Caenorhabditis elegans: one gene and its partners. The protein of the gene in region 1 interacts with the protein of each later gene in a pairwise test. Each region holds a gene or a part of one and is shown in the gene's direction. Other genes may lie near its edges.

The links. The genes of interacting proteins can lie anywhere in the genome.
Region 2: the proteins of T28C6.7 (region 1) and mtss-1 interact in a two-hybrid assay, tested with the Caenorhabditis elegans proteins (one large-scale study listed by BioGRID).
Region 3: the proteins of T28C6.7 (region 1) and C46H11.6 interact in a two-hybrid assay, tested with the Caenorhabditis elegans proteins (one large-scale study listed by BioGRID).

Annotation. Positions count from the first base shown.
Region 1 is NC_003282.8:8,825,038-8,831,436, forward strand, and holds the start of T28C6.7 (Kinesin motor domain-containing protein), read left to right. Parts: upstream 1-2,766; coding exon 2,767-2,916; intron 2,917-2,963; coding exon 2,964-3,177; intron 3,178-3,481; coding exon 3,482-3,957; intron 3,958-4,011; coding exon 4,012-4,404; intron 4,405-4,511; exon of another isoform or gene 4,512-4,651; coding exon 4,652-4,745; exon of another isoform or gene 4,746-4,903; coding exon of another isoform or gene 4,904-5,095; intron 5,096-5,236; coding exon of another isoform or gene 5,237-5,404; exon of another isoform or gene 5,405-5,425; intron 5,426-5,544; exon of another isoform or gene 5,545-5,690; intron 5,691-6,399. Other genes in the region: col-3 (Nematode cuticle collagen N-terminal domain-containing protein), read left to right, coding at 117-935; T28C6.8 (Membrane protein BRI3), read right to left, coding at 4,904-5,095, 5,237-5,404.
Region 2 is NC_003281.10:8,765,662-8,769,743, forward strand, and holds mtss-1 (Single-stranded DNA-binding protein, mitochondrial), read left to right. Parts: upstream 1-2,649; 5' UTR 2,650-2,652; coding exon 2,653-2,745; intron 2,746-2,797; coding exon 2,798-2,862; intron 2,863-3,137; coding exon 3,138-3,492; 3' UTR 3,493-3,582; downstream 3,583-4,082. Other genes in the region: Chondroitin sulfate synthase mig-22, read right to left, coding at 1-420, 488-600, 648-734, 980-1,279, 1,330-1,548.
Region 3 is NC_003279.8:5,018,095-5,023,710, forward strand, and holds C46H11.6 (PDZ domain-containing protein), read left to right. Parts: upstream 1-2,685; 5' UTR 2,686-2,728; intron 2,729-2,778; 5' UTR 2,779-2,782; coding exon 2,783-2,996; intron 2,997-3,487; coding exon 3,488-3,681; intron 3,682-3,985; coding exon 3,986-4,321; intron 4,322-4,744; coding exon 4,745-4,891; intron 4,892-4,934; coding exon 4,935-5,072; 3' UTR 5,073-5,116; downstream 5,117-5,616. Other genes in the region: pat-10 (EF-hand domain-containing protein), read right to left, coding at 909-1,076, 1,127-1,282, 1,690-1,796, 1,847-1,898, 1,967-1,969.

The DNA of each region.
Region 1 (6,399 bases):
TTTTTAAAAACCTTTTTAGTTGTGAGAACGATTCGCCATTTCTAGATATAACGTGTTCTCTCTTAAAACTCTTAAAACCAAATTATTTAAAACATTATCTAAATACAATTTTTCAGGTGTGCGTCACTCTTCCAATGGTGTACAACTATGTCCACCATGTGAAGAGAACCATGCACTCCGAGATCAATTTCTGCAAGGGATCCGCCAAGGATATCTGGTCCGAGGTCAACCACCTTAAGGCCATCCCATCTGGAAACCGTACCGCCCGTCAAGCTGGATATGATGCTGGAGTCACCGGAGGATCTGCCTCTGCTGGAGGTTGCGACGCTTGCTGCCTTCCAGGAGCCGCTGGACCAGCTGGAACCCCAGGAAAGCCAGGACGCCCAGGAAAGCCAGGAGCACCAGGACTTCCAGGAAACCCAGGACGCCCACCACAGCAACCATGTGAGCCAATTACCCCACCACCATGCAAGCCATGCCCAGCCGGACCAGCTGGAGCCCCAGGACCAGCAGGACCAGCCGGAGATGCCGGAGCCAACGGAAACCCAGGAGCCCCAGGAAACGACGGACAACCAGGAGCCCCAGGAAACAAGGGACCATCTGGACCAAACGGAAACCCAGGAGCCCCAGGAGCCCCAGGACAGCCAGGACAAGACGCTCCATCCGAGCCAATTACACCAGGAGCACCAGGACCAGCTGGACCAGCCGGACCACAAGGACCACCAGGAGCCCCAGGACAGCCAGGACACGATGGACAACCAGGAGCCCCAGGACCAAAGGGACCAAATGGAAACCCAGGAGCCCCAGGAGCCGACGGAAACCCAGGAGCCCCAGGACAAGCTGGAACTTCCGGAGGTGCCGGAGAGAAGGGAATCTGTCCAAAGTACTGCGCCATCGACGGAGGAGTCTTCTTCGAGGACGGAACTCGCCGTTAAATTTTATGAGAAATTCAACAATAAAATATTCTCTATTCATCAATTTAATGTGTTTTTTTGTTCAACTTCAGAGAAAATAACTAATTCAGAACAAGAAAATTTCGTCACTAGTAATTACGCAGCAAGAATAACGATTCCATAGATACACAATTATTCTGTACAAAATATTTATTAGTTTTAGTATAAAGAAACAATATTCTTAAAAATGCTCCTAGTTCGAAATTTGGAATGGTTTATCGAATTATTACAATGACCTGAAAAGCCTAGAATTTATGCTATCAGTAATGCTGATTTTTCAGAAGAACTGATGAGCTTAATAGACACAAATGCCTTTTGAAAATAGAAAGAGAACTGTGTTTCATGGGTTACCAAACTTAGTAAATTTTCTTCTCGATGCTGTTTGATCTATCTTGACCCAAAAACTTTAGTAAGACAGAAATTATTTTAACAAAAATATCAGTTGTGTGCTTTGCTTTTTTACATCGTGCTCTCATGTACTGACAGACAATGAGACGTGTTCTTATAACGTTTTGTTCACAGTTTTCAATGCTTACTTTAACTTTTCTGAATACACACCGCACAGAAAACTAATGATTTAAAATGGCCTACATGAAGAGTTCCAAAACAGAAAATAAAAATTGAAAAGTCATGTTTTTTCATGCCAAAATAGTCATTTGGTTATTTTTACCATCGATTTCTTTTTTGTAATTAATATCCGTATTTAATGTCACTAATATTTCACCGAGCTCTCCCATTATTTGGCCCATACACTATGTCAATGGTCACCGCGAAAGTGAAATGCGCCACCGCAAACGAATGTGCGTCAGCAGAAAATCAATAACGCGGGTGCCGTGTTGGTCGACGTGTCTCTCGAAAGGAACTAATTCGAACCAGTTTTTTGTAGAATTTCGTGTTAAAACTTCATTTTTGATTCTTCAGGAATTAAATTGCACGTAGATTTGTAACTGTTTTAAGTCGTTTCATATATTCTTCCTTATGTTTCAAATTTAGTTATATAACCTATATTTAAATTGCTGTATTAATTCACAGTGCTAGCCAAAGAAGCAACCTTTTTTGGTTTTTGATATTGTTGAGAATGATTAAAATGAATTCCGAAACTATTTCCGAAACTAATTCAGAAGCTAATTCAGAAGCAAATTATTTTTACTTTTGTATACTTGTTCAAATAAGTTAATTATATTCACTAGTACCAAAAAAAGCGGAATTTCTAGAGTATATTATTATTATAGTTAAAAAATGAAACAGTAAATGAAAATTATTTTACTTCAGCAACCTTTAAATACAAAAATAAATATTTTGTTAGTTATACTTCTGATAACTAGGTTACGAGTTATACTTTTGAATAATTTGCAACATTATCAAAAAACTGAAAGTGAATATATTTTTGGCATGCTCCTTATACCTAATCAGTTTATTAACTTTAAAAAACGATTTTTCATCCATTATAAGACTTCTCAAGTAGTGTCGGAAGATTAAAAAATTTTAGAAAAAAAAGGATGTGTTCGGAAAACTTTTTGAAAAAAAAACGTGAGACGCATATTATTGCGTGAGATTAAAATGTGAGCTTTCCACGTGGGTTCAGCGCCTCTCCGTTACGTGGAACGGGGTTTCTCTGTTTCTCTCTCCAATCTCTCGCAGAAAATTTATTCTGGATTTACAAATTATTTAAAAAGTTTTTGAATAATTTTACGTCATCCCTTTTTTTAAACTATAATTTTCAAATTTCTTTTCTTCTCATTGTTTCTTCACGTCCTTGAAGTATACTGTCACTTTTTAAATACGTTAAATACAAATATAATACTTTTCAGAAATGGAGGACAAAACCTCCAAAGAAAAAGAAAAATCGGCCGACAAACGGATCGATGAACGGGTTCATCAACAACTGGTGTATAAGGATAACCGAATTATAGATTTAAATAATGTGATATTGGATAAAGAAAGGCAAATTTTGGACTTACAGGTGAGAATTATTCTGTTTCTGTGGTTTCATATTGGAGTTGTATTTAGGAAAGAGTTCGTGAGCACAATGAAGTTGCTTCAGTCAAAAATCAAGCAATGAGAATTGTTCAACAAAAATTTGAAGAAATGAATAGAGACAAGAAGGATATGTCGACAGAAACTGAGCCTTCTTTGATGGCTCATTCCTCAGTACCATTATCAAATTCAAAGAGTGAACGGAGAGCAAGAAGTTCATCTCCAGGTCATGTCATTGCACAGAGAAGTGAGTAAAGTTTTTTGGTTAAAAAAAAATGAAGTTGTCATGCACCATTTCTGAATATATATGACGTTCAGTTTTATTTTTAGAATTTTTTTATTATTCCCAAACAGGAAAATTGCTGATCTTAGACGTGTTAGGACAACTGTAACCTACAGTAATCTAAAGGTAGCTTGCCCAAGTAATTTGTATGCTCCTCTTTTTCTTGAAAATAAGCTCGAAAATTGAGCACACGGCTAGAAATTGAAAATTGTGACGATATAAAACTTTTTTTTAAAGTTTAACGGAATTGAATTGATCTATTTTTCAGAAACGATGGTCTCAAGTTCATCGGGAACCTTCTCTCCTCCACCATTGGATCCTCCATTTGATCCATCTAGCAAACTGAGCGCTCTTCCAGATATTGACGGAATCCATAGGAAACATCAAAGAAAACGTGTAACTTTTGATTTAAATCCAAATGGTTCTTCAATTGGAACATCAACATCTTCCAATTTTCCATCTACATCTGTTTCCCGCTATCCCACCATTTCAATGTCTTCTTCAACTTCAGACGCTCTCGAGTCTGCTTTAACAGAAGCTTCATCTGAAAATGCTTTACTCCGTCAGCAAGTTATCGAACTAAACTCATCTGTTGAAAAAATGAAAGCAGACTATGAATCTGAAATTCTCAAATACACAAAAGAGGCAAAAACTGCTGGACTCAAGGCAAAGGTTGCGGCGACTGCAAGAATCAAGGAGTTGGAAACTACACTTGAAGATATCAATGGAAAATATGAAGATGAGGTAAGTGAAATAGATGAATATATCATTTTGTATAGAAACGTTTCCAATTTTCAGAGGGATCGTCTTCAAGAAGAAGTTGACACTCTCCGATCTTCTCGAAATTGGGAAATAGAACAAAATGCTCTTCTTCGTGATCAAGTTGCTCATTTGAAAGAAAAAGTTCACAAGTTGACAACAGAGTTAGATGCTAGTGAAGTAGCCAAACGATCCTTGAGCTCAGAAGTTGACGAATCTAAAAAGCTGATGGAATTGATGGTTGAAGATCTCCTTCAAGCTGAATCCGCTATCAACTACAATCAATGTCAGAAAAAAGCTATTTTTGAGGACATTGACCGATTGAAGGATGCCATTCAAGCACAGGATAGATTTATTGAAGTTCTTGAAGCTGATATTGTCATCTATGAGCAACATATTGGACTTTTGAGAGAGAATTTGGGTGCTTCACAGGTAAGATTTTTATTTCCTGTTGAAGCTCATTTTTTCCATAAGAAAATCTTTAACATCTCGAAATTTCTAGTCTAGAGAAAAGTCAATTGAAATATCTATAAAAAAGAAAAAGTATTATATTTATTAACGGAAAAATTCTGGAAATATACGTTTCAAAGTTATGTAATTAATCACACTGAAACCCGTAGTTTAATTGACCAAAATCAAACAGAAAAAGAAACTGAAAAATATTTCAAATAATTTACAGGTCGATCATCGAGCACTGATAAAATCAAAAGCTTTCGAGACGAAACTATTGGCTTTGGAACGCGAAAAAGAGCAAAGTGACAAGAAATCAAATGGTGAGACGATAGGAGACTTTTTTGTAAAGAAAAATGGGATAAGTATCATTTAAAACTTCTGATCAAGTATCAGAATAATCGGAAATATTTACTTATGAAAATTACTTAAACGTAACAAACCCCTTTTGAAACCCTGGCGAAATCAAAAATTCAAAAAATTAATCCACAATTGGTGCAGTTGATAGTGTGGTGGAAACTGTAGAATCTGTGGATGATGCTGTCATTGCCGGATTACGATATGCAGCAAAACTAGCTGGAAGAGCCGTTTTTGTAGATTCGTACAAACGGAAGTTGTAGCCCAATCCGGGAGTTCTTGGTAAAATAGCACGGGTTTCAGTACGTTTAACCACCTGCAACATTTGATTTATTAAAAACGAGATAAGACATTAGCTATTGCAGAACACCAATACATTTCTTTAGAAATTATAACTAAAGCTCTCATTTTCATAAGAACTAAGCCTTCTAATTTTATTTTGAAAGAAAAAACTCACATCACATTGACATTGTGTGCAATAGTATGTTTTCCGTTTCATGCAGCAGTAGATTCCACACGGAAAGCAAAAAATTGCGTATAAAATTGCTCGCCAACTGAAACGGCTTTTCACTTTTTTCTGAGTGCAAGCCGGACATGACAGATTAGAAGATGTAGTGGATGACATGATGGTTTTGAAGTTTTACATCTGAAATTTAAGCTTTAAAAACTTTTTAAAAAGTGTTTGAAGAAGGTGTGCAGCAGTTTCATATCTGGAAGCTCATACGTGCTTCTCCGTTTATGAGAATAAATTATGCCTAAACTCACTTGCCACATCGAATCGTGTTCCAATAATGCAAAAAAAAATTAATGTGGGACGCAGCGTGTCAATAATCGATGGGAGAGAAAGGACAAAGTATCCGCTCGACTGCCACCTCACTGTTTTCGCCTAAAGTATCACAATCAACTAAAGATAGACATAGAGAGAAACGGCACGCAGATATACAGACAGACAGGCAGACATATAGAGAAATTAGAGAAACATTGTTTTGTGTTGACAATACAAGAGGTCTGATGATAAATTGGTCAGTGAAACAGAGAGGAACACGCCACCGCAAAACCATGACTAGTTTCTAGGAAAACGCATGTTTCTCAGAACTTATTGCCATTCGAATGCGTTTTCATGAAAAGGTTGTTTAGAAAAAACATAGAAAAAAGATGAATCGTTCAAATTCCAAAATTATATAAATGAGAATGTACTACTAAAAGGAAATTCGAACTTTAAAAAAATTAGGAAACGAGTGTTTAGGAGCCTACCACATCAACATCAAAATATCTGCTTGATGTGAGTATAAAACTGCTTTAAAAAAATGTTTTCTGCAGTTTTCTATTGTCCTCGTGAAATTTTTCAAATGTATAGAATTCAATTTATATAACAACTAGGTTTTTATAACATGACTAATCACTTGTCACCACATTCCAGTCGTACAAAAATTGGGGCAAAATCATTGTGTCAAATTGATTAGAAAAGTGTTAAAAGACATACAGTAAAATTAATTTAAAAGTATTAGTAGAGAAAATGAGAGAAAATCAATGTGTATTTCGATTTAAAATTAAAATGAAAGTCGAGGGGTCTTTATGTGATCACCACCAATTGTCAACATACACTGGGAGACGGAAAAT
Region 2 (4,082 bases), on another chromosome or scaffold:
TGATACCGATTTGGTGGTTTTGCATACGGTGGAAGTGCTGGTGGCCAGCTGATAGCTTCTCCTGTTTCACGAGCTTCTTGCTCAGCCAGACGAGAAAGTTCAGCTTCCATTTTGATAATTTCTCGATCAGCTCTTTGCATTTCAACTCGAACGAAATAATCATGAAGTGCAGATGCATCTGCATCAGAAAGTAATCTTGGCACAGCAAGAGCTCTCTTAAATGCTGGTGAATGTTTCCAGTCCTCAATCGAGTCATGAGCAGCTGGCGAATCAGCTCTCTCGGCTCCTCGCCAAACTTCATAACGAACTCCTTGATGAAGCGGCTTACATGTCAAATTTGTTGCGATTTGAATGCACTTTTCAAATGCGAGTTGATCGTCATCGGCTGCCAGTGCGAAATTGTTGCAAGCATTCCGATTGCTGAAAATATTCAGTTTAAAACACTTTTCAGTTTATCATAATGTGAAAATTTTGATTTAAAGCTTACTTCATCAGAGCATGCATTGCTGGCTGACTGAGCAACATTCCAGTATCCAATCGGCATCGTCCACTTCCATCTTCAGCTGCTTCACCCATCACAACTGGTTCATTCCAATTCATCTGACAATTAACAACTATTTTACAAAAACAATTACTGGATAAAATACCGTATCAATCATTCTGAGCAAAACGAATGGGTTGATATACGTCGAATCTTTGGCAAGTAGAAACCAGTCATAGTTGTTGTGGACTGTCTGAAAACATTTTATTTTTAATCAGGAAATGCAACTCCGACAGGAAGAAGCCAAAAAGAACAATTGAGATACTCTGAACAGGGGAATTTTTACACCAAAATCGACTTTACAACATGGGGTAAACTTACTGAAAAACATTCAATTGACAATTATAATTGATTCTGAAATAGTTTTATGACTTTTTTTTTTGAAATACGAGTAGTTGACAACTACATAAAAAAACATTTTTGAACAACTCAACTAACCATATTGAAAAGGAGACCCAAAACCATCGAATGCGTCTTTTGTCCGTTTAGTTTATATGGACTCAAATTGGTTAACTGGGCCAAGTCATTGTCGATTCTTGAAGAGTCAGCAAACAAATGTACACGTGGAACATGGCGCCCAAGAGTTGCATTAATAGAAAGAGCCAATGCAGACTCAGCCATCACTGCGGCCATAACTCGTTCACGTGTACCGAGTTCAGTGGCTGCAAATCGAGTTCTTGTAACCTTTGGAGTAGCGTCTTGATTATGAGGAGGCGCTGGCATATCGTCTTGGTGAACCTAAATTTGATTCTTTCATGAAATTTTGTGTTTTTTTTAAAGCTACTCACAATCCAATGCTCAGATAAATCTTTATATACTCGCCCTTTCTCCAGTGCCGATGGTTCAAGAACATTCGTTTCTGTTTCTTGATTCTGACATGATGTAAATGCAGCCAATGAGCTGGTCAAGTCTATACTTGGTGTGGATGAAAAGAAGAAGAGCGCGAGAGCGGCACCTATAAGGAATCCAAGAAGCAAGTGTATGCCTGTTCGACCGCCGCCGACCATTCTTCGATTCTAAAAAAGGAATAGAGAATTATTAAACTTTTTTTCAAAGCCGGTGAAAAACGTACCAAACAGTCAGCAATACGCCTTGATACAATTCCAATAACGAAGTTTTCTTGTGAAGAAGCTCTGAAAATTTACAATAAGAAAGTGAAGTGAACAAGAGCAAATAGTGATGTTTGAGCATGAATGAGCAGAACACAGGTTAACTGATCAAAGAAAAGCGTGAAAAGACAATACGGGTTTATGAATGAATGCAAAACAGTCGTCATAGAAGATGTGTGTGACAATGCTCGTAAAATGATTGCAGGACATGTGAGTGGAGCGACAACCTTCTTCGGTATGCGATGCAGACGGAAGACAAAAAAAACGAGAAGAGGCTGTGATCGACGCCGACGTTGTAAGAAGGTGTTTGAAGAGATAGTCTTGAGTTGAAAGAGACGCAGACATTATGTTCTGTACTTGACCTGACTAACTAAGGTCATTTTAGAAAATTTAATGTTCGAGGACAGTGAAACCGTTAATAACATGCTATTTTGAGAATGTTTTTCTAATTTCTTAATTTTCAAGATTTTATCTCAATTTTAATTGAATTAGGAAATTAAGTTCGAAATATGACAGATAATTCGTGGGAATAATTAAAATAACATATACATTGGAATTATGAATATCTTTTTAGTAGTTTTAGAATGAACATCTAATAACAATCAAATATAGGAAAATCCGAAATAAGATTTTGAATTTAACGGAATTTTGATAAATTTTATTGGTTTGAATCAATAAAATTGTAGAAATAAAGTGGTTTTTTGCAGTGAAACTTAAAAAATAAAAATAAACCGATGACAAGAGAAAAGCGAGAGAAACACTGAGTAAACTGTGCGGCGTGTTTGCGGAAATCGCGTGCCAGGCTTGCAACAGTGCGCGATTCAACTCCGCCCACAAAAAATGCAATTTTATTTTTGCTTTTCCATATTTAACAGTTGTTTTGAGCCCGTTTTTATTTGTAAAATGTATATACTATGTTTAAATCTTTTCGTTGAACATTTAATATTGAATTTTTAAAAATAACTCATATTTTGCTCAATCGATAAACCAAAATTATAGAAAATGCTTCGTTCACTTTCCACGATCTCCAAGTCTACCGTCCGCTGTATGTCATTGACATCCAAAATGGCTGCTGAGCAACCGAGCAAGCAAGAGGTAAGTTGAAAAACAGCGAATTGTGCAATTATGAAATTTTTGTCTGTTTCAGGTTGATGACTTGTTCGCTGAAAAACCACAACATCATAACCCAGAACAAAGACGGCATGCATACAGGTATGATATGAGTTTTACACAAATGTTAAACTTGCATTTTTCTGAACTAGGAGATTAATAATTTGTATCAAAGTTCCTGCTAGAAAAAATAAAATGTCACAATTTTCAAAAGCACAAACGCAACGATTGACAATAAAAATTACTTATTAAAAAGTCGTTCGAATATTGTTGTAAAATAGCTGTGAAAGATACAATTTCAATTTTGAAAGCATAAAAAAACAAATTTTGAATTCAGATCATATCGATTCAAAATTTATTTATTATCACTATTTCAGTGTGAATAAAGTGGAACTAGTCGGAGGAGTCGCCTTGGATCCATTGTACAAGACTGGAAGGAACGGAAAACCTTACCTCATCTTCAATATCATCACCAACTCGTACTTCAAGCAGCAAGACGGAACTACTCTCGATCAAACTGAACGTCACGCCGTTTCAGTTTTCGGAAAGCAAGCCGAAATCCTTTCAAAAACCATCAAGAAAGGATCCCGTCTTATGGTTCAGGGGAGACTTCATTATTCTGGAGGACAGAAGGACGAACAAGGAAACCGTACACAACGCAACACCTACATCATCGCTCAAACTGTTCAACCATTGGCTCGAGCAGCTAGAGAGAATCCAGATCAACATTAATTTTCAAAATTTTTTAAATATTTAGAATCTCCGATAATAGACCATTGTTGTTGTTTTTGTTGACGAGTTATTTACCTGATTAAACATTATCTCATATTTAAAAAAAAAAGTTTTATTTGATTGCATACCTGGTTTTCTAACCATATTTATTATCTGATCGTTCTTTGAAAGTTCAGCTAAATCAACTTTTGATAAGAATCGGAATTCACTACACTGTCAAAATATTGATTTTTCGTTTTTTCCTCATCATTCCGTCTCTCGCCAGTTGTTCCTCCGAAACAACACAATATCCCTCCCTTTTTCTTGTTTTCTCTCGGGCACTTTGAGCCAATGTTTTAAATTGTTGAAGCAGTTTCACACGATTTAATCGATTTTTTTGTAGAATTGGGAAACCATGAACCGATCTGGACAGCGCTTGATTGTCTCTGCACCTCGGCAGATCGCCTTTTCCACTGCTGTCAGGTATGTGATTGTTTTTTGGTTATGCATTACGTGCAAATAATTATATTTGAAATCATGTTATTTTTTAAAATTTCTATATTCTTCCGAATTGTTTTTTTCCTCCACTATTTTTCTATTGAGATGTTGTT
Region 3 (5,616 bases), on another chromosome or scaffold:
GGGCTCTGATAAGCAAAGAGACGGCAGAGAGACTCGTGAAGGGCTTCTGGAGCAATAGTAGCTGCATGTGATGGACACTATTTGGAGTCTCCACCGTTAATCCCTTTTCTATTCCTGGAGGGATATTGGTGGGAAAGTGGATAGAAAAAGATAAAGCCTATGTTACACTAAGTTTATATAGAAAAGAGTTGAGCACAGATAGAGAAAAAGAGAGGGATTTGTTGAATTTAGATTTGGAACAATTGAAATAGTGAAAAACTGTTTTGCAAGTTCACAAGTATCCTGAAATTCATTCGTAGAAAATCTACATAGAGAATTGTCACTTTACTTTTGCAAATTTACAAAAACTGTCCTGTTGCGCTAAAACGGTAAAAACTGTAATGCCGCAGAGTAGAGGTCTCATTTGCAGTGATTTAATACATTTTCCATTTTTCATAATTTTCATTCTATTTAGAGACACTTCACTTTCAAACAACAAGGTTGCAACGGTGAATCTCTATATTTATAGAGATTTGTCATTCCATTCCCCGTAGATGGACTTTTCCCGTTTTTTTAGGTCAAGAGAAAACGGAGCACTATACTGCGGATTTGATGTTGTGTTAAAGGATTTGAGAAGTCTAGTTCTTCTGATTATTTCCTGATTTTGGCCGTTTCAAATTGGTCACACTCTTCCAATAAGCCTGTGGATGTACAAAGACTTTTATTCATTTTTATTCATTCAAAAGAATGACAAGAAAATTAATAAAAAGTGAAATGAATTTAACATTTCAAGAAAAAGGAAATTATGAAAAGTTGGTGACTGGTCCCCACAGTTGAAGATTGTAGATCAGCGCTGAAAAATAAAAAGTTAGTTTTTGAATAAAATCAAAAAAAGCTCGAACACTTACATTTTAAAGGAATTAGAAAATTTAATCAGACTCTCCAGCCATCAACTCCCAGAACTCCTCGAACTCAATCTTTCCGGAACCGTCCTCGTCAATCTCGTCGACAGCCTCCTCGAGTTGTTGATCGGTGAGGTCATCGGCGATTTCTTTGAGAAGAGCCTTCAGAGTTGGTCGAGAAATATATCCGTTACCCTGAAAAATTAATAATTAAAGAATAAAAAGCAAAATCTAAAAGTACAAACCTCCTTGTCGAAAAGACGGAAAGCTTCACGAAGTTCTTTCTCCAATGTTTCCTTGTCGACAGTGTTTGCAACGGTGTACACGAGAGCGCAGAACTCGTCAAACTCGAGCTTTCCGGAACCGTCAGCGTCGAACTTGCGGATCAGTTTACGAAGGGTCTAAAAGAATGAAGTTAGATGCCACATAGATTTAGAAAAATCAAAATCATCAATTCTATAACTAAATTTCATAACATATAGTTATATCTTACTTTAGTCGACATAATAAATGCTTTTGTTCAGATGGAATATCAAAATTAATTATTTCACAAACATTAGTAACATGTTTTAGTGGCGAAAATTAATTGAATTCAGTTGAGAAACAAGCCGCAGAAGATAGGTCGGATAAAAACAAAATTTTAGGCAAGAGTAACCCATTTATATTTTCGGTTATCTTACTCAGTTGGCCTACCTAATCATTACCGTGAAACCTAAATTTAAAAGAGTTGAAAACTTCCTAATTTGAATTATCACTCTTCTGAAGATCCCCTAACTCTACATAAACCAAAAGTTCCAAAATGATTTACCTTCTCATCGAAATCCTGTTCCATTCCATGCATGATTTGACCGATCTGAGTGGCCATGATGTATCCTTGCTTTCCTCTGTCGAAGGCATCGAAGAACTTTTGGTATTCTAGAAAGTTTTAATGATGATTTTTCAATCATAAATATAAAATATCTTACCCTCAATTTGGGATCCGTCGATTTCAGCAAGAATCTCTTCGATATCCTCAGCCTATAAAAGTATAAACATATAAAAATTCAAAAAGAAATTTATTGAAGACATGAGAAAGCGGGACTCACCATGTTGTCGGAGTTTGTTGTGCTCTGGATAAGCTTCGTCGGGCAGAAGCAACGGCGGGAGCGAGTAGGCGGAGGAACCCGAGGGCGGGCTTTTCTTTCTCACAACGGCATCATCGTCTCCTCCACAAAACACATTCTTGGTGTTACACTGGGTGACAGATGCTCCTGATCAACGGGCATGAGAGATCATAGAGGGCGAAGAGACGCAGAATGATATCTGTGTGGAAGTTGACGATGATTTTTGCGAAACACAGGATTCGAGAGACAAGGCTCTCCGAGAAGGAAGGGGAAACGGGAGGAGAGTACGAAGAAAGATTGGGGGGACAGGCAACCAAGGATCAATAAAAGTCCAGGAAATAGAAAAAAAATAATATAATTGGAGTAGAATTAAGTACAGAAATGGAGTTGACAGGCAATATATGTAATTGAACTTTCCCAGAATACTTGGATTCTTAGCTGTACATGGTGACCAGAACATCTAGCCTTTTTGGGCTTCAGAACACAACAACGTTTTTTTTTCAGTTTTTTTAAATGTGCACTGAGTATGTATATCTTTACAGTTTTATATCAAACGTTTAATTTGAATACTATTTTATAATTCTCAAGTTTCTCCAGTAACTTTTTATCGCGTGACACACCATTTTGAATTTAAACTTTATGTTTTTCCAATTCAGTTTAGTCGAGGGGGAGGAGGTAGATTTCTAATCATTCTTATTTATCATTTGACACTAAATTTCCGGATTTCAAAAGGAAACCATAATCGTGAGTTTGGAGCTAACAAGTAACTTCGGAAAACGTTATTTCTTTTGAAGAAGAATGTCGAAGAAAAAAGTGCAGAATACGAACAAAAAGATGAAAGAATGTTGGCTGACACCGATCCCACAGAATGTGGAAACTGTAAATATGACAGTTTCATTCAAGATTGATGAAAAAGATGTCGGAAAGCCTGCGAATGAAGTTATTAGAATTAATGAGAATTCGATGGTTTCTTTCCTATCAACAAACTCGTTTTACAATGGATTGATATTGAGTAAGTTTCCAACGGCCGGATAACCCGAAACTATTTTGAAGCGGGCCAACTTCATAACAGAATCTTGCAACTTCTTACAAACCATTATTTACTTTAGTTTTCTAACAAATTTCTGCAGCTTTTCAGATGACTCTTGCAATTTCTTTTGGCAAACTTTATGAAACATTTCGCTTAGAACTGCTCCGGTTTTTGCAACTTTGTAACATCTCTTGGCAATTGTTTATAAATGTTTGTTTCAAGTTGCAAGAGTTTGCTATGAAGTTGTGATGTTTTGCCGAACAAATGTATATTTATCCCCGATAAAATAATAGGCAAAAATTGGTTTGACTGGTACAAGGGTTTCAAAACTCTTCTGTCCACAATTATACATTTTGAGCCAGGAAAAGTCAATTTTCCTCGGAAGACTCCCTAGTTTCTTTTCCACTTTACACTTTTCCAATTAATGTATTAAACCAGTTTAAAAAACTAGATTAAAAATACTTTTCTTTCAGGCGACAAAATAGTCAAGGTGAACGGTGCCAGTGGAAATATATCCAAGTATCAGACAGAGCTCATGAAAGGTGAAACATGTAGTGTTGAGGTTACAAGACGGAAAAATATTATCCCAGCGACCAGAGAACGGTTGAAGAAATCGGGATGTGTTTTGAGACGGGACAATACGTGCTTTGTTATTGAAGTTGAAAAGGTATAATTGAAGAAAAATCGACATGATTATCTTATTCGAAAATATACGAAATCTGAACTTTGCAATGAGGTTTTGAACGGAGTTACAGAATGACCAATTAAATTCTAGAATTTTGCATGTTTTTTGAGTATGAATTGTTTTTAATTTAAAAAATTAAAGACGAAATTATGAAAGTTTTTTTGACGAAATGTGACGAACTGCTTGTTGCTTGACAACAAAAATTCTCATAAAATAATTGTTTAAAATAACTTTGGATTATACCTAGAACTTATGTCCACCCCTTAATAAATACCATTTACTCCAGACTTCCGCAATGAAAAGTGCAACGGTTGGAGTTACAGTGACATATATTCAAAAACGTGGCATAGTAACTCGAATCGAGCCCAGCTCACTCGCTTCGATATTCTTTGGTCGTGGGGATCTGATAATGGATATAAATGAAGAATCCATTCTGAACGCAGAGAAAAATGACGACTTCATTCGTGAGAAACTGTCGGGAATTTTGAAAGGAGAAAAAGTCACATTTTTGGTTGAAAGACCGGTTTCTGTGGAATCTGCAAACACTCTTCGTCATTTGATTGAGTCAGTTGCTCCAGATCCAGATGTTAAGATGGCAAACGACGCGATATGTATTGGTCGGGTGAGGACTTTTTCTTCAAATTGTACCGGCTGAACGTTTGCTTGGAAAACCGGCGTCCGGTTTTGCAAGATTTAGGACGATCCGTATGCTGGAGCTTCAACAAAAATATTATTATTAAAATAACTAAACACTGGGTTTCTTAAAATCAGAAGTATACAGTAAGCCTGAAACTTGAGAAATTGGTCACCTCAGTTTCCACATCTACTCGGTAAATTATTGCTCCGAGAACATGAATAACGCGTGTTTAGACCACTGGATTGCAATCAAGTCGCCGAATTTCAAAAATTCTTCTGGAATAAATCTCTAGTCGTCACCCGCCTGCACTTTCTGAGCAGCTATTTGTAGAGTAATTTAAAGTGGAGCCAAACTAGAAAATATACAATTTCATACTTTCTTAACAAGACATACGCATTTTTCTTTCAGAATGCAAGCAACATGCACTATAACGTTCTGAAAAAGTTGCAACCAAAAAGCATTTTAAGTCGGGATGTCTTCAAAGGGAAAAATCCTCGTGAAAAGAAACCTGGCAAGAAGTTGAGTAAAGAAAAGGATAACACAATAAAAATATCGGTGAGTTCTTAGCTTAATTTGAAGGTTCAACATTAATATTCAGACTGCAACATCCACGGCAAACATTTCAACGGATGTGGCTGAAGATGAAATCGATAATTTGAAAAACGTTGTTACCAAGAGTCATGCAGTTAGATCGGGTGATGAAGAGGAGGAACGTGGAGCTTTTGATGATGAATGAGTATTTGATCTTTATTTTTCTGAAAATGAAATTTTATTTATTGGTTTCATATTTTGTTGAACATTCTTGGTAATGCTTGTGCTTTTGTGAAACGATAATAGTAATTGTTTTACTAACAAATCATTCCATGCTGAATAAATGAGATGCGAATTTCAGCTGATCGGGATAACCTTGTATGCAACAAATTTTGAAATATAAAATCACATAATGCTGAATTGACAACTATTCCAAAAATATTCCAAAACTTTGAAATATTTTCATTTACAGTGAAAATTGTCTATTACTCGGCTTCACCTAACATAATTCTAGAAGTCTGTGGAAAGACCAATTGTTTTTCCTGAAGTTTTTTTAAATTTTAGTACGTTCTATGTATTTGTACCTAAACATTCTAGGTGTTCGAATCTGCGGTGTTCTATATCCCTCAAAATTTTTTGTCGCAAATAAAACCTTTTCGACCAATCAGTGCCTAGCCCCTCCTACTTGCTAACCAATTATCGAAGTGCCCTAAGAAAGTCTGTAACCATCGCCCGCTCTTTCCATTTTT